3 linked regions of the Mytilus edulis genome follow. The protein of the gene in region 1 purifies or fractionates together with the protein of each later gene. This does not show direct contact. Links are inferred from orthologs where the notes say so. Each region holds a gene or a part of one and is shown in the gene's direction. Other genes may lie near its edges.

The links. Proteins that work in one complex are often made in the same cells at the same time.
Region 2: the proteins of AP-2 complex subunit mu (region 1) and AP-1 complex subunit gamma-1-like purify together in Homo sapiens (affinity purification with mass spectrometry; 3 studies listed by BioGRID and IntAct, counting the BioPlex papers as one, with this or other methods). This does not show direct contact. The link is inferred for Mytilus edulis from reciprocal best matches to the Homo sapiens genes AP2M1 and AP1G1.
Region 3: the proteins of AP-2 complex subunit mu (region 1) and ralBP1-associated Eps domain-containing protein 1-like purify together in Homo sapiens (affinity purification with mass spectrometry; 3 studies listed by BioGRID and IntAct, counting the BioPlex papers as one, with this or other methods). This does not show direct contact. The link is inferred for Mytilus edulis from reciprocal best matches to the Homo sapiens genes AP2M1 and REPS1.

Annotation. Positions count from the first base shown.
Region 1 is NC_092356.1:16,485,051-16,492,827, forward strand, and holds the start of AP-2 complex subunit mu, read left to right. Parts: upstream 1-4,650; 5' UTR 4,651-4,752; intron 4,753-6,216; 5' UTR 6,217-6,235; coding exon 6,236-6,309; intron 6,310-7,546; coding exon 7,547-7,777.
Region 2 is NC_092348.1:64,384,793-64,392,525, forward strand, and holds the start of AP-1 complex subunit gamma-1-like, read left to right. Parts: upstream 1-4,517; 5' UTR 4,518-4,795; intron 4,796-6,794; exon of another isoform or gene 6,795-7,146; coding exon of another isoform or gene 7,147-7,157; intron 7,158-7,262; exon of another isoform or gene 7,263-7,461; intron 7,462-7,733. Other genes in the region: sperm-specific protein PHI-2B-like, read right to left, coding at 3,785-4,417. UniProt on the Homo sapiens protein: Subunit of clathrin-associated adaptor protein complex 1 that plays a role in protein sorting in the late-Golgi/trans-Golgi network (TGN) and/or endosomes.
Region 3 is NC_092353.1:79,518,454-79,526,684, reverse strand, and holds the start of ralBP1-associated Eps domain-containing protein 1-like, read left to right. Parts: upstream 1-5,015; 5' UTR 5,016-5,153; coding exon 5,154-5,303; intron 5,304-8,231. Other genes in the region: histone-binding protein RBBP4, read right to left, coding at 551-601, 1,396-1,543, 4,609-4,672. UniProt on the Homo sapiens protein: May coordinate the cellular actions of activated EGF receptors and Ral-GTPases.

The DNA of each region.
Region 1 (7,777 bases):
CCTTGCCCTTTTCTTTCCCCTTCTTGGGTTCTTGGAACGAGTACGTTTTGCTGCCTTTCCCGGGGAGGCAAATGCTGACCTGCTCCTGCTCCTTCTGTTGGACATGGACTTGGATGAACGATGAGTTGGGCTTGGCATCCGTCTTGCTGGGTGATACAAGACTGACTCCTTCATTTTCATAGCCTCTGTATCATCTGTAGACAAGCAATTCTTGTCTTCTCGTGCTCTATCATCATTTATAACATTTGACGCATGCATATCTTCAATAGGACCACGAATAGCCCATCCGAGGCGTGAGCGAATTGCATATGGTTGGTTTTCGTTACCGGACCTTACTTCTAACGGAATGTGAGCGTTAGGTGAATCTGTACCAATTAACAACATGACCTCGGTTAAATCAGTAGAGGGTATCTGTATATCGGCCAAATACGGCAATTTTCTTATATCTACATTTTCTGCGGCAGATCGAGCAGAAATTGGAAGCTTCTTAACTGACCAGACCTTTTTTAACGACACGTTATCATTTCCGTCAATAGCTTTTACTTGTAAGTCAACTTCTTGACCGTGAATTGTACTACCAGAAGAGCTAACAGTAGACATCTCGAAAGTGACCGGCTTGCTGGCTATATTTAATTTCTGAAGTAATCGTTCATCACATAAAGTTTTATCTGCTCCGTCATCTAGCAAGGCAAATGTTTTGCAAGAGTTACCGTTCCGACCCTTAACGAGGACAGGAATAATTCCTAAACAGTTCTTAATCATAGAACCTTTAGTAGCTGCGCAATTAACTGAAGGCTGAGTAGCTGCATGATCAAAACCGGGCTTAGACCAACTATGCAATAAAATATTATGCTTAACATTACAGTCAGATACAGTGCATGCCTTTGGTTTTCTACAATTGTTAGCAAAATGCTTCCCTTTTAAACAATTATAACACAATTTTAACATGCGTACTAATTTATACCTATCATCTAAACTCATTGACTTGAATTTGCTACAAGCTGTAAAATCTACACAAGTACCTGTACAACATTTACATTTGTGCTCATATTTAGCTGTGTTATTTAAACTTTGAGTACTTAACGTAGTAACCTTACTATTAACTGTATCATTATTATGATGGTTACTTGTAAAAACCCTTTTATCAGTCTTGTTCTGATTGTTTTCTCTACAAAGATCGTACCCATACATAGAACTAGCAATGCGTGATTTTTCGTCTACAAATTTAGCTAAGTCAGAAAAACGGGGTTCTCTACCAGACTCACTAATTGAATGAGCAATGTCGACCCATCTTGTTCTCATATGCATTGGAAAGCGTTTAACAATACACCTTAAATTTTTAGAATTATCAATATCTGAATTAAAACCTAACTGAGACAATGTGATTTCACATTTTTGCATTTCTAATGCCAATTTAGATAAACCTTCAATATCTGACGCTTTAATCTGAGCGCCGTACACTAATTTTTCAATAAATGATCTAGCAATTACATGTGGCCTACCGTATCGGGAGTACAATATTGCCCTAGCACGTTTGTAACCCTCATCAGAATCTAATAATACACAATCTTCTATACAACACTTGGCTTCACCTCTACAGTACTGAATTAAATAACTCAGTCTCAAACTATTATCACTTATTCTACCTTCAATGTTTGTCTCAAAGTTCCTTATAAACTTACTATAGTCTAACGGAGTTCCATAGTCTAACGGAGTTCCATTAAAAGTTAATAATTCTGGTTTTGGCAAATTAAACCCTTCGTGAAGTGTAGATGCTAGGCGTTGAAAAGCTGAATCTATGCTGGAAACACTTACATCCGAAAATCCAGACTGAGCACTGATTCCCTGTGTACTGTTATTAATGTTCATCTTTGGTTTATCAGTTGCTGCAGTTTGTCCGGAAAGAGAGTTCATATTAATACACTTTTCACTCGCAGGAACAGAGCTCTGTAATGTTTGCGAGACTGTTTGCGAAATGTTCCGAATGTTCACGATTCCACTGGTATTATCTGTGTCTTCTTCCACTGCTTCTTGCCACACTGATTCTTCGATATTGGCCTCTTCCATCTCGGATAGTTGATTAAATACCTGTTGTCTAAATTTAATTTCTATTTGTGCACGCTCTAGTTCATGCTGTTCTGATAATTTCCTGAGTTTAAGTTCTGCGATTAGCCGCTTAGCTTTGGCACTGCGAAATCTAGATTGTGATGAAACTGAAGATCGTGAACTCAAACTGCTATCAATTGAAACTGTATCACTTTCTTCGGGTATTTCCTCTTCATGCGATTTTTCACTCGCAATATACTGAGAAAATCTATCCCGGAATTCTACAAAGTTCTCATGACAACGTTCATAGTTCACTTCCAAATTTTCTATAACTTCTGATTGTGTACACAAATCTAAACACTGTAAGTGTGCTAACTTAAATTGTTCAAACCTTTCACATAACTTTGAATATAATTGTTTTGCATGTTCCACGTTCTCATATGAAATTAAATTCTTCTCCAATTCTTTGTACAATTTAGTAAGCTGCGCTAAATTCGTACTACGAGTCCGTTTTACATCACTGAAGTCCAGACAGTCTTCTTTCCGTCTATCGGTAGCCATTTTCTTTTTAACAAATAGTCAAAATTCGGCACAATTTTAGAATTTCCTCCTCTCCAGAGTTGAGAATTGTACGAATCACATAAAGTTTAACTTAGGGCGAAGAAATGAGTATGCGAGTTAAGTTGCACCATGTATCTATCTTTTATTCTTTTATAAAAATCATATGGTCGCTAATAATCGATTCTCAACTTTGATCTGTCTAATAAAATAATGTGCATCCTTATGTTATCAAAATAAAGTCTAGACGACGAAGCGCACGTCAAAGGCGTAACGTCATAAAACAGAAACGGGAAAATGTGTTGTTCAAAAGAGCGCAACGTTACATTAGCGCTTTCATAAATAAATAGTAAAAACTGTGTTTCTTATTCTTACAAGAATAAATGAATATGTTAGTTAAACATTTAATAAATAATAAACTTATATTTAAAATTTGAATATTTCAAATCTTACAATGGTCATAAGGTCATTTGAGGAAACCAGGTCGCCTTTGAATCTTTTTGCATTGTATGAACTTCTTTCTTTTTTTTTTTAAGACAATGAGAATAAGATAGCATTTATTTTCAAAAACTATGAATTATAGTAGTACTATACAAATCCTTGAAAATGTAGTCCGACTCAGAAAATGCGGACGATAAAGACAATAACAAACAAAACCAAGGAGTAAACAAAGACTCACAAAACCAAAGGACATTTACATCAATAGTTATAAATAAGAAATAAAAAACAACACGAACTCCACTAAAAACCATGAAAACCGGGAGTGAAATCAGGTGCTCCGGAAGGGTAAGCATTTCCTGCACCGTATACGGCATCCGTCGTGTTATTTCTTTGTTCAGTCAGTCGATAATAATGGAAGGTTATTATGACTGAGGAAGAATATCAGATATGATTTCTAACACACTTTTTTCATAATTGCCAATCAGATCAAGATGACGACCGTAAAATTTCTTGAGTGATGACCTTAATTTGATTGATTCATAGCCCTGTCTTAGCAACTTTTGAGAAAGCAGTATTCCTCGTTCAACAAAATCAACGTACTTTGAACTAGCTCTAGAGTAACGTATCAATTGAGACACATATACTCCATATGCTGGTGCCGCTGGGATGTTGCTACACAGAAATGGAAAGTTGACTATAGGAAAATTAAAATCATCGCGTTTGTCATAAATTTTGGTATTCAACCTACCATCAGTAGTCATTTCGAGAAAAAGGTCTAAATATGAAGCAGATTTATCTGTGTCGGTAGTATCTTTAATTTCAAGTTCACTTGGATATATTAAATGTAAGTGATCACTGAATCTATTATCATTAACAGACAGTACATCATCAATATACCGAAAGGTGAAATTAAAAGACTGGGCTAACTTCTTTTCTCCTTTCTGTACAAGCCCTTGGATAAATTCTGCTTCATAGGAATACAAAAACAAATCTGCAAGTAGAGGAGCGCAATTGGTACCCACTGGGATTTCAATAGTCTGTTGGAAGACTAAACCTCCAAATTCAACAAATATGTTGTCAATTTAAAAGTCCAGCATGACAGTGATATCCTCTTCGGTGTATTTTTTGCTTGACCCTGTATGATTTTTCACAAAGTAAGCTGAATTTCTGCCCAAAACTAGATGATATTTAAAAACGTCTAGTGCCAGCCTTTTTGTTAAAGAAACATAGGTTGACGAGGTCTTTCAGTCGAGCTTTAAGTTTTTAGTATGTGGAATAGTGGTATAAAGAGTTGAAAAATCAAAGGTTTTAATGTTGGTACACTGTTTTAATAAATGAGATTGTAAATTCACCAATAACTCTTTTGATTTTTTCAATATCCACATCTGATTAACACCACTTCTTGAATATGTCGTTTCGGAATATTTCTGAAGTCCTACTTTGACTGCAGTGAGTATGGCAGTAAGAAATTTAGAAAGGGGTTTAGTGAAACACTTGTAAGAACCTGCAATATACCTTTCCTTATAAGGATTCTTGTGGTGCTTAGGAATCAATATAAGGATTTAAATTTAATACTGCAAATACGGAAATTAAAGTTACTACTGATTTGGTTCTAATATTATTGACTTTTCTGAAACCGGAAGTGATCTTTCCACACTTCGATTTTCTTTCTTGCTCATTAGAAATGATTATTTATAATTTGTGCCGGTAAAAAAGATACATATATGTTTTCCTTTAAAGTTAATGAACAACTACTAATAATTTCTATTACATTCACTTCTTTGATTGAAATTCCTGTGATAGAATAACTGGAAGCAGTACAAATCATCAAGTGGGCGTATCATCAGGGACATCGCGTCACTTTTCTTGGGTTTAATCACTAAATATTTTGATATAACCCACAATCAAACAAATTAACACAGATTTGGTCTGCTGAATAACTGGTATAGGTCAAAATTAAATCTTATATCTGTGTTTTTTTTACACTCATTCTATTCAATTATTTATGTCGGTTAAAATCTCATTAGAGCTTATGTTTGTCTATGTTTGTATACCTTGCCGACTCTAAATAAAGCTTATTTATTATTATAATAGCTCTGGTTGATTCGCCCAGTTGATGTTTCCAGTTTGTTCTCCAAGTCTTTGACGTGATGCTCCCTAGCCCTTGATATGTTGGCCCTGTTGATGTTTCCAGTTTGTTCTCCAAGTCTTTGACGTGATGCTCCCTAGCCCTTGATATGTTGGCCCTGTTGACTGTTCTCCAAGTCTTTGACGTGATGCTCCCTAGCCCTTGATATGTTGGCCCTGTTGACTGTTCACACCAGCTTCTTTATCCCAATTTGATTAAACAATGTTATTTGGTCCAGAATAATATGTAAGCAAAAACAAATGAGTGGATAGATGATTGTTGATCAAATGTAAATGTTTTTGTTATGATTTGCTCAGCTAATTGTTTTGAAAGTTTATATGCACATATAAACCTTTCTTTATCGTTGTGTTGCTATTAACATGATTGAACAAAATAAATAATCTTGCTGTGGCTTCTTTAATTTCCAATGAGACAAATTGTGTTCTTAAACAAATAATTGAAAGCTCTGCATTATAGTAACTAAAAAAGTCAAGAACTTGATACAATTTATGAGGCATCTGTTTTAGTCTACCAGTCAATGCTCTTCAACTTCGTAATTTATTTGGCCTTTAAAGCTTTTTTTTTATTTGAGCTTCACTGATGAGTCTTTTGTATACCGTTGATGAAACGTTTGTCAGGTGCAAATACAAAATTTCAATCCTAGTATCTATGATCATGATAATGAGTTCAATCATCCTATCATCATATTTGACTCAACTTGTCTCATGGTATTACATGTACTTTGTTTCTTGATGTGGTACATGGTAACACGGTTACTCATTTATTGATCAAAGTTATTTCTCACATTACTTTATTATTAATATTATGTTTATCTTTTATGGGTTATACATGTTTGAACCTGTAAAAAAGTTGTTTTTTACTTTACAAAATATACAGTAAAGATCAGTATACCCTTTGAAACTGATATATAAATGTTTTCTTAAATTATTTATCCATTGGTAGTGTACACTGAACTAAATATCAGGTAAAACTTATACATACAATCAAGGTTTTTCTATACATGATGTATTTTTGGTTTTCAGGTAACAGAAAAATAAAGAAATGATTGGTGGACTATTTATTTACAACCACAAAGGAGAGGTCCTCATATCCAGGGTATACAGAGATGATATTGGGTAAACTTATCAAATTAAAGTTTTATAAATAATGATTGTGAAAAAGGTTATTCTAGTGTTCATTCTTTCATGTTGTTTCACAAACTGAATTAAGGTAGCACAGTACAAAGATTTTATACCTCCAATGCCCCAGTTTTAAAATGCTGTAACTTTCTTTATAATGCTTGAAAATTTATTAAATTGGTATTTATGGATAGCTAACAGATTATTACTCTTTCAAATTAATGCAATGTTAGTATTGTACAACAATTATGTAATCAATTATAATTTTAACTGTGTCTACAAAATTTTACAAGAAATTTACACTTTCAATTGAAATTAGCTTCTTCATGGATACCCAGAGAGGGTTGATTTTATACTATGTTGTTCCTATAGCCATTGTCTACAAAAGAGTGTCTCAGATTTTGGATAGAATGTAGAGATCAAATTTTACACCTTATCAAACAATCTCTACTTTTATGTGGTAAGGATATTTACACTCATTACAGATTTATGAGAGAATAGAATACAATAGCCATAATTTGAGACACCCTTTTGTAGCTCCTACTGTGTTGATTAAGATAACGTTAAAATTTCTTGTGTAGTTATAGAGATGACAGAGCTAAATTCATACAAGTGAACTGACCAAGATTTTGCCGTTAATTACATAATAATTGTAACATAATGATTGCAGAACAAAAATATTGCATTCATTTAAAAGATTAATCTTTTATTTATCTATATATACCTCTTTTATTAATTTACATGCAGTCATAAGAAAGTTACAGCATATTAAAGGTTGGAGATTGGAAGTAAAAAATCTTTGCATTGTGCTACCTTAAGTCAGACAGACTTTATGACACAATAATATATTATTTTCTTTGTTGAATAGCTCAACAATGAAACAAAACTGGATGCTTTGCAAAATGTCGCTCCCAATTCTAAGACATAAATTACCCCCCCTTCCCCAATCTACACCTGAACTTATGTTTAATATCATGCATGTCAAATATTTCATTATTGAGCAGTGGCTAAAAAGTATATGTAATTTTCCTTTTTCAGGGCAACAATTTTGTTGTATGAACATTTCATCATTTTCTTAAGAAATTAAACTTTGTCTTTGTTTTCAGTATCCACTCAAAGATTGCTTTTATTTTGATATGTTAATTATTTGTGAACAACACATTAATTAGTGGTAGAGTTGTGCTACATGTATTCTGCAATCATTTACAAAAAGTATTGCTGCCTTATATTTCAGACGTAATGCAGTTGATGCATTTAGGGTCAATGTCATTCATGCCAGACAACAAGTCCGTTCACCTGTAACCAATATTGCCAGAACCAGTTTTTTCCACATCAAAAGGTCCAACATCTGGTTAGCCGCAGTAACCAAACAGAATGTCAATGCCTCTATGGTGTTTGAGTTTCTTCTCAAGATGGTGGAAGTCATGCAGTCTTATTTTGGCAAAATAACAGAAGAAAATATAAA
Region 2 (7,733 bases), on another chromosome or scaffold:
ATCATTCATTCCCTTCATTTATTTACACATTGTTTTACTTTCACTTTCGATTTGTTTACATTTTACTGGGTGAGTAGTAATTGTTTTGGGGTCAGGAATTGACCTATAAATCCGGAATTCCCACGATCATGATCAGTTGTTACAAAGTATATAACCGTCACAATAGTGCTTTGTTATATCATATATGCTTAGGTGTTGTAAAACGTTTTAGTGATAAAGTCGTTTTTGGAATAGTCTATTGTATGGACGAGTCTACAATTTACTATATATACCAAGGTTTTCACAGTTCACATTGTTCTGGGTTTAGAATTCAAGCCGAGCAGTTGGATACAAGAGAAGAAGAAAGGTGAGATTAATCTATAGTTCTGAATAAGAATTATAAGCAGTGGTCCTGAATAAGGAGCCAATTGATTAATTCAGTAATTGCTGCTGAAGAAGCAGTGGCTTCAGAAAGAAGCATTGGCGGTATACAAAATAAAGTATTTCCAGTGGCCCTGAGTAAGGAGCCAAGTGATTAAATAAGTATAGCTGCTGAAGAAGCAGTGGCTGCAGAGAGAAGCATTGAATAAGAGCAAAGAAGTGACCAAACAGTCCAACACACGCACTGGCCCAAATAAAGTAGATATAAAGCAGTGGCTACAAGTAAAGCACTGGCTCAGTATATTAATAATACGTTGCTTTTAGAAAGCATTGGCTAATCAAAAGTATATCAAGATATTCACTATCATCCTTGGCATTTATCGTCTATTACCCAAAGACTTCTTAATTTGGAAGCCCAGCATTAATATAAAGAAAATCCGAATACTCAGTTGATAAAATAACGCTACCAATTCTTGAGCCTTGACTGTATCCAGAGAAACGACTCTGGTACGAAACCCAGAGTAACGCAGTTGCGTACCCCCGGTACGTGACAATAGTACAGAAGACACAACATAGAAAACTAAAGACTAAGCAACAAGAACCCCACCAAAAACATTATTACTGCGTATCACCAAAAGTAGGTCACATTGACTTATCTACAGCTAAATATCAGACACTTAATCGCATTCATTTAACTTGTAAAGAAGATAGAGGTAACTTACTAGTTAATGCCTCCAACTTTCATATTTAATGTATAGGACTAGTTCAGGTACCATGCAGATACTATAAAATGACTTAAAAGAGGTGTCACAGATTTCGTAGTAAAGTGGGTCAACGTGACCGTGTGTCATATTGTTCATCCATAGGTCATTGAAATTGTCCAAGTCCCTTAAGAAAACTAAGAGTGGCGAATAACATTACAATAAAGATAAAAGTGGGCAAAACAGATTTACACCAAATGCATGTATTTGACGAAAGTGGACATTGGGACTGGCTTTAGTCGAACTATTTTTATTAGAATATTTATATGCATAGAGTTGGTTGATTTGGTGATGTCATCGGCGTATTTGAACAGAGGGTGTCACTAGTGGAACTACTAACCTTTCCGCGGACTACCTAGTAAAGTTCACTTCCGTTTTATTGTGAAGTAAGTATTGTTGTGTAGTGTTGTGTGGACATTTTTATGTCCCATTTATGGGCATTATGTTTTCTGGTCTGTGCGTCCGTCCGTCTGTCCCGCTTCATGTTAAAGTTTTTGGTCGAGGTAGTTTTTCATGAAGTTGAAGTCCAATCAACTTGAAACTTAGTACACATGTTACCTATGATATGATCTTTCTAATTTTAATGCTAAATTAGAGATTTTCCCCAATTTTCACGGTCCATTGAACACAGAAAATGGTAGTGCGGATTTTTTTTTTTTATCTTTTCGTCATGTTTTTTTTTTTGATCAAGTGTTTATTTTCGACCAATTGTAAAATTGAGAATGGTCCTTGGTTGCTCCATTTATATTTTCTCCCTCTTTTAACAAGAGTAGGTTACTCTGACCGGCAGCTTTTTACCTGTACTGCATTTGAACAAATTTGACATCTGGTTGATTTTGTCATATATAATTACCCTCAATATCAAAAGGAATCTGTTGATTATGGTCAGCTTTTATTTAAACCAAGACTGATAAATTTTTTTTTTGCAAATGATACAACTATCCACTATAGATCGTAAAACTGAACATCTATAAGAGGTCTGGAGGTCAAGATATGTATAGAACACTGTTACAGAGAATAAAGCTCAAAATAAATAAAGAAAATGGACTAAAAAGTTACAAATTAAAAAAAGGAAGAGCCCCATCAAGATCCCGTGTAGGCATTTTAAACAAAAATCCATAACAAAAATGAAGTCAACCTTCCAAATTTTTCCTCATGATTTTTTTCCTACCAGTTTTATCAGTAATAATAAGCGTGAAATATATGTCAGGTTTACATGTTACAAATCCAGCTTAGCGTGACCATCTGGTACAACTTTTAACTTGTTATTAAAAATTGAAAAGAACTTATGTGACGTAAATGTACCGTGACATGATAAATTCTCGTGAAAAGCTAAAAAATATTACTAGTAACTGATTGTGTTTATTTTCTTCATCTTGCAAAAAGGCAATTTGTAGTGCATATATATATTATATATTTAAGAATGGCAAAACATTACAAGGGTTGTAATACCGGTTGCTGGCTCTGCCGATGGACCTTTCAGAAGATTCAAAGATAAACTGTATTTACATGCACAATTATTTCCAACATTTTGTGGTTTATTTTTTTAAATCAATGCCAGTTCAATGCCAGTTTGAATACGTCCAAGTCATTTTGCAAGTGTTTAATTTTGAAGTGCGCATTGTTTAGTTCATATATGCAGATGTTTCAAATTCTCAATATTTCGTAAAAAAAAGAACATAATTATTAAAAAAAAATGAATACGAGGTCATTTTTAACAAAATAAAAATTTCATGTGAAGTCATTTCATTTTAAATTTTAATAATTTGTTATCTGATGTCATATATGCTACGCATTTTACGTTTTTCGTACACTAACAGTATTACTCCTAATAGATATCAAAAATTTTCAATAACTTTCTGACCCTAATAAATAGCCTCTCGAAACTCAACAGATACTAGTAAAAAGGGGAGTTTTTCTCAAGATTTTCGAATATCCTTTCATCAATGTCTGCGCAGATAAGGAATAATTGTTATGGATTTGTTTATTGAAATTTTCACTATGCCGGTTATAGAATGAAATTCAAAACTGTGTGGCTGTGGCCATTGATTGACACATAAAATTCATCCATTGACTGGGACAATTTAGTGAACGTTTGTATGTAGCAACTACTGCTCACTATGTACTTTTTAAAGACACCTAAACTATGGGGTCACCAAAGGTTCTCAACACCTTAATAAAGTAATTCGAAAAACTAATCAGAAATAACAAGATGTTTTGATTTATATCAATTATATAAATCAAAACATAAAAGTTATTCCTGATTAATTTTTTGAATTATTTTATAATTAAAGGCGTTAAGAAACCTTTGGTGACCCCACAGTTTAAATGTCTATCGTAGGTACGTCGTGAACAGTGGTCGTTACAGACAAACGTTCACGTAAATTGTCCCAGTCAATGGATGAATTTAATGTGTCAATCAATGGCCACAGCCACACTGTTTTGAATTTCATTCTATGCGATTTACAGGAACTAGTTTGAAATCTGAAGTATAATAAAATAAAAGATAAAAAGTTGAAATTTGGAAGAAACTAGTAGAAGATGGCAAAGGTCTTCGGATTTGAGAAGAAGTTTACTGATACAACAAATAAAGACTCTTTTTGAAATAATTGGTTGGCCCTTAAAAGGGCCTTTGGTTTTGTCGTTAATCTGTTGATTCGGGTCTACTTCTTGGACTTCTTTGGAGACTTCCTGGCGGCCTTCTTTTTGGGTGATTTCTTTACTCTCTTCTTTGTAGGTTTCTTGGCGGCCTTCTTTTTGGGTGATTTCGGCTTTTTTGATGTTTTTGCCTTGGACTTCGATGACTTTTTAACTGCAGTCTTCTTTCTGGGTGACTTTTTAGCCTTGGCGTTGTTTGACTTGTTTTTGGGTTTCTTTGCTTTCTTCTTTGGTGACTTTGCTTTCTTTGCCCTTTTCTTGGGTGAAGCAGGTGCTTTACCAACACGGAAGCTACCAGTTGCACCAGATGCACCAGCGGATGACTTTGGTCTGACTAAAACACCCGATTTCAATCCCTTTGCAAAGGCTAGTTTCATGGCAGTTCCAAGACGAGCTGCACTAACCCCTTTGTTGTTGGCCAGGATGTACTTTCTGATGGCTTGGACAGATGATCCCTTCTTATTCTTCATGGCTTGGATGGAAGCAACAATCAAGGATAAAGTTGTTGGCTTCTTCACTCCACCTTTTGCTCTTGGCTTTCTTGGGGTCTTTCTGGCCTTCTTTGCTGGACTTCTCTTTGGAGAATTGCTCCTGCTCCTAGACCTGGATCGTGAACGTTTTCTTGGGCTGCTTGGCATCTTTGTTACTTTCGCTGACTACTTGATAAAACAAGAATGATAAAATTTCTGCAGGTGCTTCGTTTAAGTTAATAACGCGGACGTGATAGAGAGCACCAGGAAAACTGACGCGGAAAATACATGGAAACATGGCCGACTAGAGAATATGTGCTTCCTAGTTACTTTTAAATAGTAAAAATTCTAGTGTTTACCACAGGATCCTGAATTTAAGGACGTATAAACCATTGGTAGGATCAAAACTTGTATTCCAAAACAAAGAATGAAAAGTTTAAACGCCTTTCGTCTTAAAAAACAAAGGTTGAACTTAAGATTGTTGGTAAACAAAATGAATGTTCGATGAAAGTCGTGCTCAAACTGCAGTAAATCCGACACTTGAAGGTAGGAAAATGTTTTTTTGATATTTAATAGATTTCCAAGATGCATTTCATTTGCATTGCGTCAGTATCTTAATGAATATATAACGGCATTTTACTATTAGACTCTTTCAAATCTGAGGTTACAAGATCATTCAAAATGTCCGCCATGATGCCTTCAGAAACCGGCATAAAGGAAATCAAGAACAAAAGGAGGTTCTCCGTCAAATAAAAAAAGTGCATCTTGGCTTGAAACAAAAGAGGCCAACACATCCAGTTTTAAAATAAAAATAGGCCATAAACTGGCCTTTTCTATATGTATGTGTGCGACAACAGGCCTGCGGCTGCACTTCAGAAGAGACCAAAATCATACTGTACTTTGTCTTTGATGGTAGCTATCTTTATGATATACTTCAGAAGAGACCAAAATCATACTGTACTTTGTCTTTGATGGTAGCTATCTTTATGATATTTTTTTACAGTTTGCATACCATATATAATCTGTAGGCTAGCTCTATGGTCCTCGAACTGTCAAAAAAATATCATTAGGACCTTAGTCTGGCTTAGAGCTACGGTATCTTTATGATATTTTTTTACAGTTTGCATACCATATATAATCTGTAGGCTAGCTCTATGGTCCTCGAACTGTCAAAAAAATATCATTAGGACATTAGAGCTACGGTTCTGCAAATACTTTAGTAACAAAGATGAAAAATAAAATCGAAGGCTATGTGTCCCCAACAGTTAAAGATTCATTGAAGTCTATTAAAAGACCAAAAGGGCCAAGAGAGAAATTCACCGAAGAAAATGATAAATAAAAAACTATTAATAAAGTAGCCCTTAATCAGGGGTGCTACAAATTTAAACCAAAGGTCTTTTACAGACACTGGATTAAGAATTATTTTATTTGTATAAACAACGACTTTGATGTTGTTGTAAACATGGAACAGTTACTGAATCTCAAAGACATGTATGCCCCCACATATGAAATCAACTCAAATATGATATATATATATTTGCCTTATTTTCCATCCAAGCCAATGTAATACCTATATATACATTTTTTTTGTAAGAATGTTTGTCTTGGACAACTTTATAATCTTATAATATGACAAAATGCCGAAACGTATGTTATCACCAAATACCCCAGTAGCAAAGAAGACCAAGTATCCAGCCAAATTCTATTCTGCCTGGTGCAAGTCAGCACTTCATGCAAAGCTGACTTTGTTTACCATAATGACTTGACCAAAAATATGAATACAGCTACCCACCAGAAAGCCATCTCCTTCTGCTACTAGCATGTTCTGAGACAGTTGACAATGTAGTTTATTTCAATATTTGCTTAATAATATATGGCAGTTGTACTTTTCACCAACTGTATGTATGATGGCTGACAACTTTATCTTGAGGCTATAAACAATGAATAAACTATATGAAAACACTTATCTTGGGCTGTCATCTTGCCCCCTCCCCCCGTATACAAATTAAATGGTAGCTCCGAGGCTTCCTCTAAAGAAATGCAATTTTTGTCTAGTTTTTGTTCAAATGAATTTTTGAAATAATCTTTTTCTGCAAGATTCGGAACTAAATATTTAGATGTATGTCAAAATCAACAGAAATATTATATTTTGAGAATCAGACTACGTTTACAAATTGTGGCTGACTTGGAAGGAGAGTTGTCTCATTCAGTGGCACTCATATACCACATTTTTTTCTCCAGTTATGGCATTTGAAGCAAACATCATGATCTTGTAAGCATTTCTTAACCACAACACTTAACTGTGTGTTCAATGACATCTCAGAATCAGGCTTTGTTTCATAATAAAAACATAAAAATATAACAAAAATGACATTAAGAACTGAATAACAAAAGCACAATACGGTACCCCGATTTTTTTTTATAGGCTATATAAATGTATGTACATTTTATTACTTTTACATGAATAATGTCAATAATATCAGAAAGTAATGATCGTGTGATCAGTAATGGATGTTCAATGATTTATTTTTAACCATTACTCACCGTCTTTAAAACTTAAATAATGTGTGGTTTCTGAACCGGGTCTGAAACTGTTTTACAATTAGTAGACTAATGTCAGGTGTGGTTGATACTATAGTGAGATGACAAGAATTAAGTTTTGGAAAAGCAGGGAAATATTCACTATACAAGCATAAATGATAAAAGAAAAACATAAAATAATTCAAAAGGTCAAAGACATAATGTCAATTATACGGCAATAAAACGGCGGGAAAATCAAGGGTAGATAATAACTGAACAGGTGTCACTGTAAAATGACGTAGCGTTTGCCACATTGGCACTATTTTTCTTCCGGTGTTTGTATACTGTTACATCCGGAATATATAATTATAATTTACATGGACAGAAAGTAAATATTCATTTTTTTAATTCCACATATATCTTATTTATGCATGTACAATATGTACTAACATGACAATTTATTACCAAAACCATCAATGACATACCGATCTACTTTATTTACGCGGAGTTTGTTCTTCGGTCAACAGCCATATTGATAGATTTAGATGACAAGATACCTTTTTTCCTTGACAATTTCCGGTCTGAAAGACTGATTCTTTCTAGATTGGGATATTTACCAAGCAGTCCGTATACTTGATAGATAAACAAATACCAGTACAGACAGATACTTAACTAACTGTCATAATGATGCGGTAATTAGATTTCTACCTGTTGATTAATTATTTTTGACCCTCCTACCTAGCGCAACCGGTCGGTGAACTTAATTATAACCTTTTCATGAAATGTTCCATCCATTTATTAAGCCCACCCATAATTTTGCTTACATTGATATAGTTGAGTGATAATGGTCCTAGCGACAGTTATGACTGTCTTGGGTGTTGAAATTATTCCATTGGCATTGTCTCCTTCAAATTATTTTGTCTTTGGGTTGCTCGCAGGACGTTCTCCAATAAAAATCACAGAA
Region 3 (8,231 bases), on another chromosome or scaffold:
TTTATTGAAAGGGAGGCAACTCATACAAATTTTAATAGTAAAGTTTTCAGTAAATCTGTCAATGTATAATTGAGTGATACTTTGGATACATGTGTATTCATGGTATTAGTTAAATATTTTGGCATTGCACAAGGTAATGTTTTTCTTGTAAAAGTTGCTCATGTCTTTACACTTCAAACATACTTCATGTGGACTTATTGATTTCTAGTGACATGTGAAATCTGATTTTCTTATTAGTTGTATTTGGACCTTAAACATGGCGAATAACCTTACACTATAAACAGCAAGTATTCTAAGATCACTTCTCAGTCTTATTTGTATGTGTATTTCTTTTTTTTCTCATTGTGCTAATCTGATAAGATTTGCCTACATTGTAACTAATTTTCACAATTTTCTATATGTTGTGCAGTTACACCACTCTGTCTTTAAGATCAAAGTTATCGTCCAATATAAAGTTGTGACATAATCATGAATTGAAAAGATTCTAAGAAGAGTGTCCTTTCTGGACAATTCTCATGGCACCATTTAATATTTACACCAGCATACTTACGTGTGTGTTCCTAAAATTAATCTGTGAAGAGAATAATCTTTTCCTTCTGGCCTGAAAAAAAGAGGAAAAATATCTTCAATTTCCATGGCTACAAATGTACATATACATGTAGTAAAGGTATATCTATAAAAATCAACCAGACAAACAAAAGAAATATGTTCTCACATGTGTACTAATAACACTTCTGATTCATATTCTGATTTCTTTCACAAGTATCATACGTAGTTATTATTAGTAAAGGCAACAGTAGTATACTGCTGCTCATAACTCGTAAATGGATGGACAAAAAACAAAATCAGGGTAACAAACAAAAACTGAGGGAAACGCTAAGGCTACACTTGTTTATTATTTGTGTTCAAATCTGGCAAATCAATTTAAAAGAGACATATCAAGGGAACTAATAAAAATTAAGGGAATTTACTTGAATGAACTCCAAAAGGATTGAGACAGTGTGCATCAACATAGTAACAGTTCTAATAATAAATTTGTGTTGGTGTTTTAATAAAAGTGTCACATTTGGCTCCATTGACTTAATCAGTTTTTATAGACAGAGGAAGCTGGAGATCACAATATAACCAAATGTATCAGCAGAAAAGCAAGCATACATTATAAATTAAGATCAGAGTCTAAAGAGCCTCACAGTCGCAGAGAGCAGTTTTTACACATAGCCTCAGAATTGACATGTTAATGATCTTTGTATCATAACAAGATCCAAGTCAAATGTCCCTCACAACAAGCAGGGTTCAAACTCGCAAACCCATAATTGACAGACTGTTCATCACTATATATAGACTACTTAAGACTAATCAAACACCAAGGTCCCTTGAATATAATGAAAATCTTACCTTGTGACATCAGGTAACCATTGTGCTGTAAGACTGGGCCATTCTAAAGCATGTGTCATTACCAAATCATACAAAAAAGGGGTGTTTTTCTTCCATATTTTATATTCTTCATTGATAACTCTTTCTTCTACAGCATCATCAAATCCTTCTACAATAAAAAGTATTTTTGTTTGTAGACACTCAAAAAGTAGATCAAAAATGATTTGTTTAGGTGATTGCCTTTTACAAAAATGTACATCTTATATCAAAAATTGTATTATTTCCTCTACTCTTAATTATTCTATTTAGTGCCATTGGTTTGCTACCTCAAGCCTAATAAAAATACATGTGTGATTCCAGTTACCCGACTGTCCTTAGTTTGAACCCAGCGATCAAATTTTGAGGATTTTGAAATTAAATAACTAAATTCAAAGACTTCTATCATCTGCATTTCCATCAGAAGTATCCACTTTGGCTAAAATTCATCAAATTCAGAATAGAATGAATCAAAATTAACTAAAAAAGTAACATTACTGTTTATTTTTCAACTAGAACATGTAAAATGGCGAACTTCCGGTTTTGGCTTATATAATATCGGAATCAATTTCCAAAAAAAAAATTGCCAACCTATTTTTTAAAAGGATGTAACTGGAACCACACTTATATTTTTATTTGGCCTCAGATGTATACAAGTACTCCTCAGTTTCTTTCATATTTTGGCAGGTTCAGTCCTGGATGCAAAAAGTTAATTTTTTACCCCTGTATATACAGTGATGTCGTTAGAAGCCGGCAGCCGGCGATTTTCGCCGGTTATTGTGCTTTTCCCGCCGGCTATTTTTGCATGAGTAAAAAAAATTAATAAGATAAAAAAGATAATCAGGTTAATATTAAAAAATAATTGTTCAATGCATCAGCTTCCACGATTAAAGTCCGATAAACAAGGATGTAAATCAGTGTTTACCTTTGACTAAATATAGTTCACGTAAATGCAGTCCGCTGATTGGTCGTCTATTTAAAGTCGGTAAGTATTGTAATGTTTGCAAGGATAAAAAGAGAGACGTTCCGATGGACATTATGACCCTGTTTGGTTTTTGCTTCAAGAGGCTCAAGAGAAGGAATAAGCCAAAGATGACAATAGCATGTTATGGAAATTAATATATCAGTCAAATAAAAGAAAGTATAATATATATAATGTTGTCAAGAATCTGGAAAACAGCACTTTTTGAAGTTCACATTTCAAAGCCCACGACCACGTGGTGTCCAGAGAATGAAGGTCAATAACGAAAGTAGAATATTGTCGACCACAAATAATTTTTAAAAATATCTTTTATAGTTCAAAAGGATTTTAGTTTACTGATTACTGAACAGTTAACAAATAAGAGAAAATAAAACGACATAGCTTGACAACATGTTTGAAATACGTGTACAAGTCTTATATGAGATAAAAGGGGGTCATTTGTCACTAAGTACGTACGCAAATAAATCGATCAAGATATTTAATAAATTCGATTATTTTTGAAATAAAATTATAATATTTCACCTATTATTTCACAGGCACTTGCCTGTGTATTATTTACATATATTCAAGAACAGACTTCCTTAGTTGTCTTACAAAAGACACCTTCCCAGAAAAAAATATAATATAGATTAGCCTTGCCAGGACTACGGATTCTCATTTAAAAAAAAAATCAATGTGATTGAAGTCAACAACAAAAATAAGACAAAATTAACATTTTTCCAAGCATCTAAATCACTCTCAGGTATGCTCAGAATGCAGGAATTTTAGTCTAAATTTTCAAATCTTTTTGGGGATAGCCAAGGACGTATATTATGTTAGTTATACGTCCTTGGGATAGCATACGATTTTATAAAATATAGCACCTCTGTAACAGTTTTAACTTTGAAATCGAAGCTCCAGCTGCCTACTAGTCAGTGAATATTGTTTTTAATTTTGTAAAAACAAAACCAACACTTTTTTAATATAAAATTAAAACATTTATAATGTTCTCAATGTCACAATTACAATTTTCATTTAAAACTAAATTATTCAAGTGATAATTCAAACCAGAGACAATATGTTTCTATTCAAACTAAGATTTTTGGATTCTTTCAGTTCAAAAATATTTACTAGCAGTCAACCTGCAGGAAAATGCACAAAAATGTATATTGGTCCATCAAGATGATCAATGATGTGATCACATGTACAGAAAATTTACCCATCATGTTGCTAATTTTAGTTAATCATTTACATTATCTTCAGTAAAAAATGATGTTTTCAGAGGTCTGAATAAGGGTCTAGGACACCCCCAGAATGCAGGATTTTGCACCATTTTAAAAAAAAATCCTGGGGCCCTTGAGCGGGCCCCAGACCCCCCGCCGTAGTAGCGACGAGCAAGCTCGTCGACGCGAACGGCTTTGCCGTCCGCATGTACTTGCGCTTATTTTAGAAATTCAGCCTGCTTCTTCAAAACTTAGTGACATCACTGATATATATAAATTTCTGTTATCAATTCATTTGTATTTCGTTTTGATAAGAGCCAAAGCACAGAATACTGCCAATTAATAATCATTTGATTTATTAACAAACAAAAAAATTCTGGAACAAAATTTTTAAAATGAAAATGAAAATAACAGAAATATAAATTTTAGTGCCTTCAAAGTTTTATCAAGAATAAACATAAACAAGAATTTTGAATTATTCCTGGACTTATATCTTATCTTATATCTTCTGTATTATGAAAAATAATGGGATCCCTCTTTTACAAAAGTTGATCCAAATATAATGACCCCCCCCCCCCCCACTTTTCAAGTTAAAGAACTTTTCTGTATTCTTTTCTGCAACATTAAAATGCCTGCTTAAATGTGTGCAAATATTGCTTGGAGTCTGGGAACCACAATTTGTCAAACAATTTCTTGAATGCATGCCATTGACATTGTGCAATACTATTCACTGGACATTCATTCCATCCAAAATTATAAGAATATAAGGTAGGTCCAGATAGCTACAGTTCTATAGCTAAACAAATGACTGTCGAGAGCTCTTGTCAGAGACTTTAAGGTCACCTCCCATTGGTTGTTAATGTTTTGTAGACCGGCCGGTCATTTCCCCCTTTTTTGTTTGTTTCCTTGTGTCAAGGGTAGTTGCAGTCTCACTTAATAGCAGAAATAAGTAAACAGCTTATGAAAGGTATAATAAAAATAGCTCATTTAAGGCTTCTGACAGACAATGTTTACCACCGTCTTTTTCTGTCATTTTCTTTCTTTCTGTTGATCTTTCGGCACAAAGACTCATGCGCATCAATGGCGCCAAATTTTTAATAATTTACTGCGATTCATTTTCTATAGTAAAAAAAATAAATTAAAGAAGCTAGCAGTTTTTACTGATAACTATTGTAATATGATAAGTAATTATTTTAACTTTATTTCAATATGATTATATAGATAGCTTATTTCGAAATCCAAGTAAATAAAGACAATATCGAAATATATTTAATTGATGCGCCACAGATTATTTTTTAATTATATTTTCTATTAATTCCGAAATGATCGTTTTGTACTCTGAATATAATATGCTAAACTTTGCATTATTTAAAAAAATTCTATTAATATTATTTCATTTCTAATTTTGTGAAGTGTGTATCACACTTGTAATAAATTTCCAACATGGTGGATAATCGTTGAAAACTTCCTGACTAAGTCTGTTTCACAAAATCTACTTAATTGTAGACAACTGACACTGTTAACATTTTGACATAGTACATATATGTGTTTATTCTGGCATGGAAGGGCTCAAACTAAGCCAGCAAGAACAACGAAATTATGGGGAGTTGTTTCAATTATGTGATGTTGATGGGACTGGCAGGATAACTGGGATAAAAGCATCTGAATTATTTCTGTCATCTGGTTTAGGACAGGATGCACTGTTGCAAGTAAATATACAATAGTATAAAATGTTAGCTGATACATTTAGATAAAGATGTTGCTAAGAACTAAAAACTTGCTTTAGCCTGATTGTGTGACAAACCTTACCTTACCTCTGTATCTTTAACCCCCTTTGTAGAGGAACCATACGCTAGTATGTATAACTTGTGGCTTTCTAATATACAGTGATGCCTCCACCAAATGCTTTGAAGTGCTGAGACTATATACACAGTGAGATCCTATCCACACACAATTATATTACAATTCCGTTATCCTGTATTTACAATGTTTCTGTGTTGATTAAAAGTCATGTCACATACTTTAAAATTCCTCTCTTTCTTTATGTATACACTGGTATCACATTTATACCCCTAACCGATAGATGTATTCTTTAAAAATTAGTATCGATCTTTAAAAATATCAACAGCACTATTCCATAATTGCGGTAAAAACGGTAAGAAGATAAAAGAATGATGAATGCCTCTTCCTCATGAATTAAAAGTTGTATTACAAAGTAATTATCTAAAAGTTATATTCATTTCTTCTAAAAGGTCCTTCAGGGCACACACTACTTCAGAATTATAGGGAGAAGTGACTTCTCTTTTTGAAACTGATATGGAGAAGTGGTGAGATTTGAAAGAGAAGTGCTCATTCGCGCGGTGCGCTACAATGTTTGGATTTTACAATAGTATAAAGGGCCATATGTAAATAATGTCCTTTTTATGTTGTTCAATTCATATGAGCATGATGAGTAAAAAATTACAATTAAAGTAACATTTGAAATTAAAAGTTGTTTAAGTTTTACTAAGGTTCTTGTGAGAAACTACCAACTAAATATCTAGCCCTAAAAAAAAAAAATTATTTTAAAAAAAGAAATTATAATATATCAATTACAATTTAATTAAAAATTATCTTGTGTATGAAATTCAGTGTTTCTCATAAAAAAATATAAAAGTTATTAAGCTGGGCCATAATATATTGATATTAGTATAATAGTCTCAGAGTTAAGCAACTTTAATCAATAGTTTGAAACAATCCATAAAAAATATAGGGAATTATATACACTAATCAATTAGATGTAACCAAAAGTCTCTTAATGCGTGTGGAATGCGTAATTTTCCCCTTTGGAATCAATATTCTTCTGTTAACTGTTCCATCCGTGCCTCCGTAGTAATTATTGTAAAAGTACGGATTTCGGTCATAGCTGGTCCGGTTCAGATCCGTAGTTTAGAAATCGGTCAATGGCGGACGAATGCAAGAAAATTTACAAAAAAATAAACGATGTTTGACAAGTTATTTGGAAAGGAAGATGACGGTTTTAATGCAATAAATGGATTAAACATTTACTGGAGGCAACTTTTATCACGTTTAAATGAAGTAACAAACTTATTTTGCCGCCGAAATTTAGGTTGATGTACGTTTTCGAGTAACAAGCACCGGAACTTGCGAAAATGCACGAAGTGATAAAAAGTTGTATTTTTATCAAATAACCTGCTACACACTGCGAAGACAATGCTTCAACCTCTTTTCTAAAGATAATGAATCGTTTATGTCTGAATTTCTTTAATTATCAGTAAAAAATTGATGTTTCATCAACTTGGTAAAAAAATTATGTCCGATGACGGAAGCGACTGAAAGCGACTATCGTCAAGAACAGGGCGACTTGTTTTCGCTTTTGGGGGTCGGGGAAAGCGAAGTGACAGTCGGGAAGGCGACTTCTTCGCCCAAGTCGCCTGGTAGCGTGAGCCCTGGTCCTTCATGTATTGTTTAAGATTCTGTTTTCTATATATAATCTAAAATATTTTCACTTTAAGATCGCACACTTTAAAAATATGTCATCACTAGCATAACTTTAGTATGTATATATATATGCTAAAATAGGTTCGTTATGTTATTGTAAAATTGATTAGTTTCTTCTTTTTACTGTGGAAGCGATTATCTTTTCCTTTTTTTTTTTTTAGAGTCATAATTATTAAAATTATCATCCACATACTATTTTATAGCGGGCTATATGTAACTGGTATATCAAGCGTCTAGTAAGGCGTTCTACTTTTGCTACACTGGCTGGAGAGAGTTTCCTTGATGTTGCTAACGGTGTGATGTCCAGAATTATTTGTAACTTTTCACTGTCCAATAGTTCATTAAATTTAATTCCAAGACTGTTAAGTACCTCAACTGTTTCTAGAAGTATCTTGTTCCTGATATTTCGGAGTTGTATGCAGTGTAATATGAAATGAGTCACAGTTTCATCATCCTTTGAGCATAGCAGGCACTTCGGATCGGTTTCATCCTTATACATTTTTATTCGCTTACTTTGTAGAATATATGATCCAGTAAGCAGTTTTAGTTTAACTGGTAGTCTTGCCGTATCTATGGCTGAGTGGCAGTTAATTCTGAATAGAGGATTAATTTTACCTTTGTCAAGGTTTCCCGTTGTAAGATGGTCTAGTCCTTTATACAGTGGCAGTAGTTGCACTATTGACTTGCTCCAGTAATTATGCACTGTTCTCTTGATGTTTGAGGTCCACAAGGATTTTTTGACAGGATGGTCCATGTACCATATAGCTTCTTGCAGATTGTACTTCCTGAGCATATGTTTTATGGCTACGAACCAACTAGCACTTTGGTTGTTTTTTACGGTTAGTTGTCGTCTAGCTAGCGATTTTTCCATACTTTCTTCATGCTGGTTACAGATGTTGTTGAAGAGTCCAAGTGCTCGGATATGTATTTGTGCTTCTACTGGCAATATTCCGGTTAAGATGTTGATAGTTATATCTGCTACGCAAGTTGGTAATGAAAGAATTTGCTTGAGTAGCTTTTTTTGGAAATTTTCGATTAGTGCCAACGAGCTTGTTGTAGGTAGTATTAGCTCCAGGCCATAGAGAAGTACTGGGGATACATATATTTTGTACAGATGTACCATTGTCTCTACATCT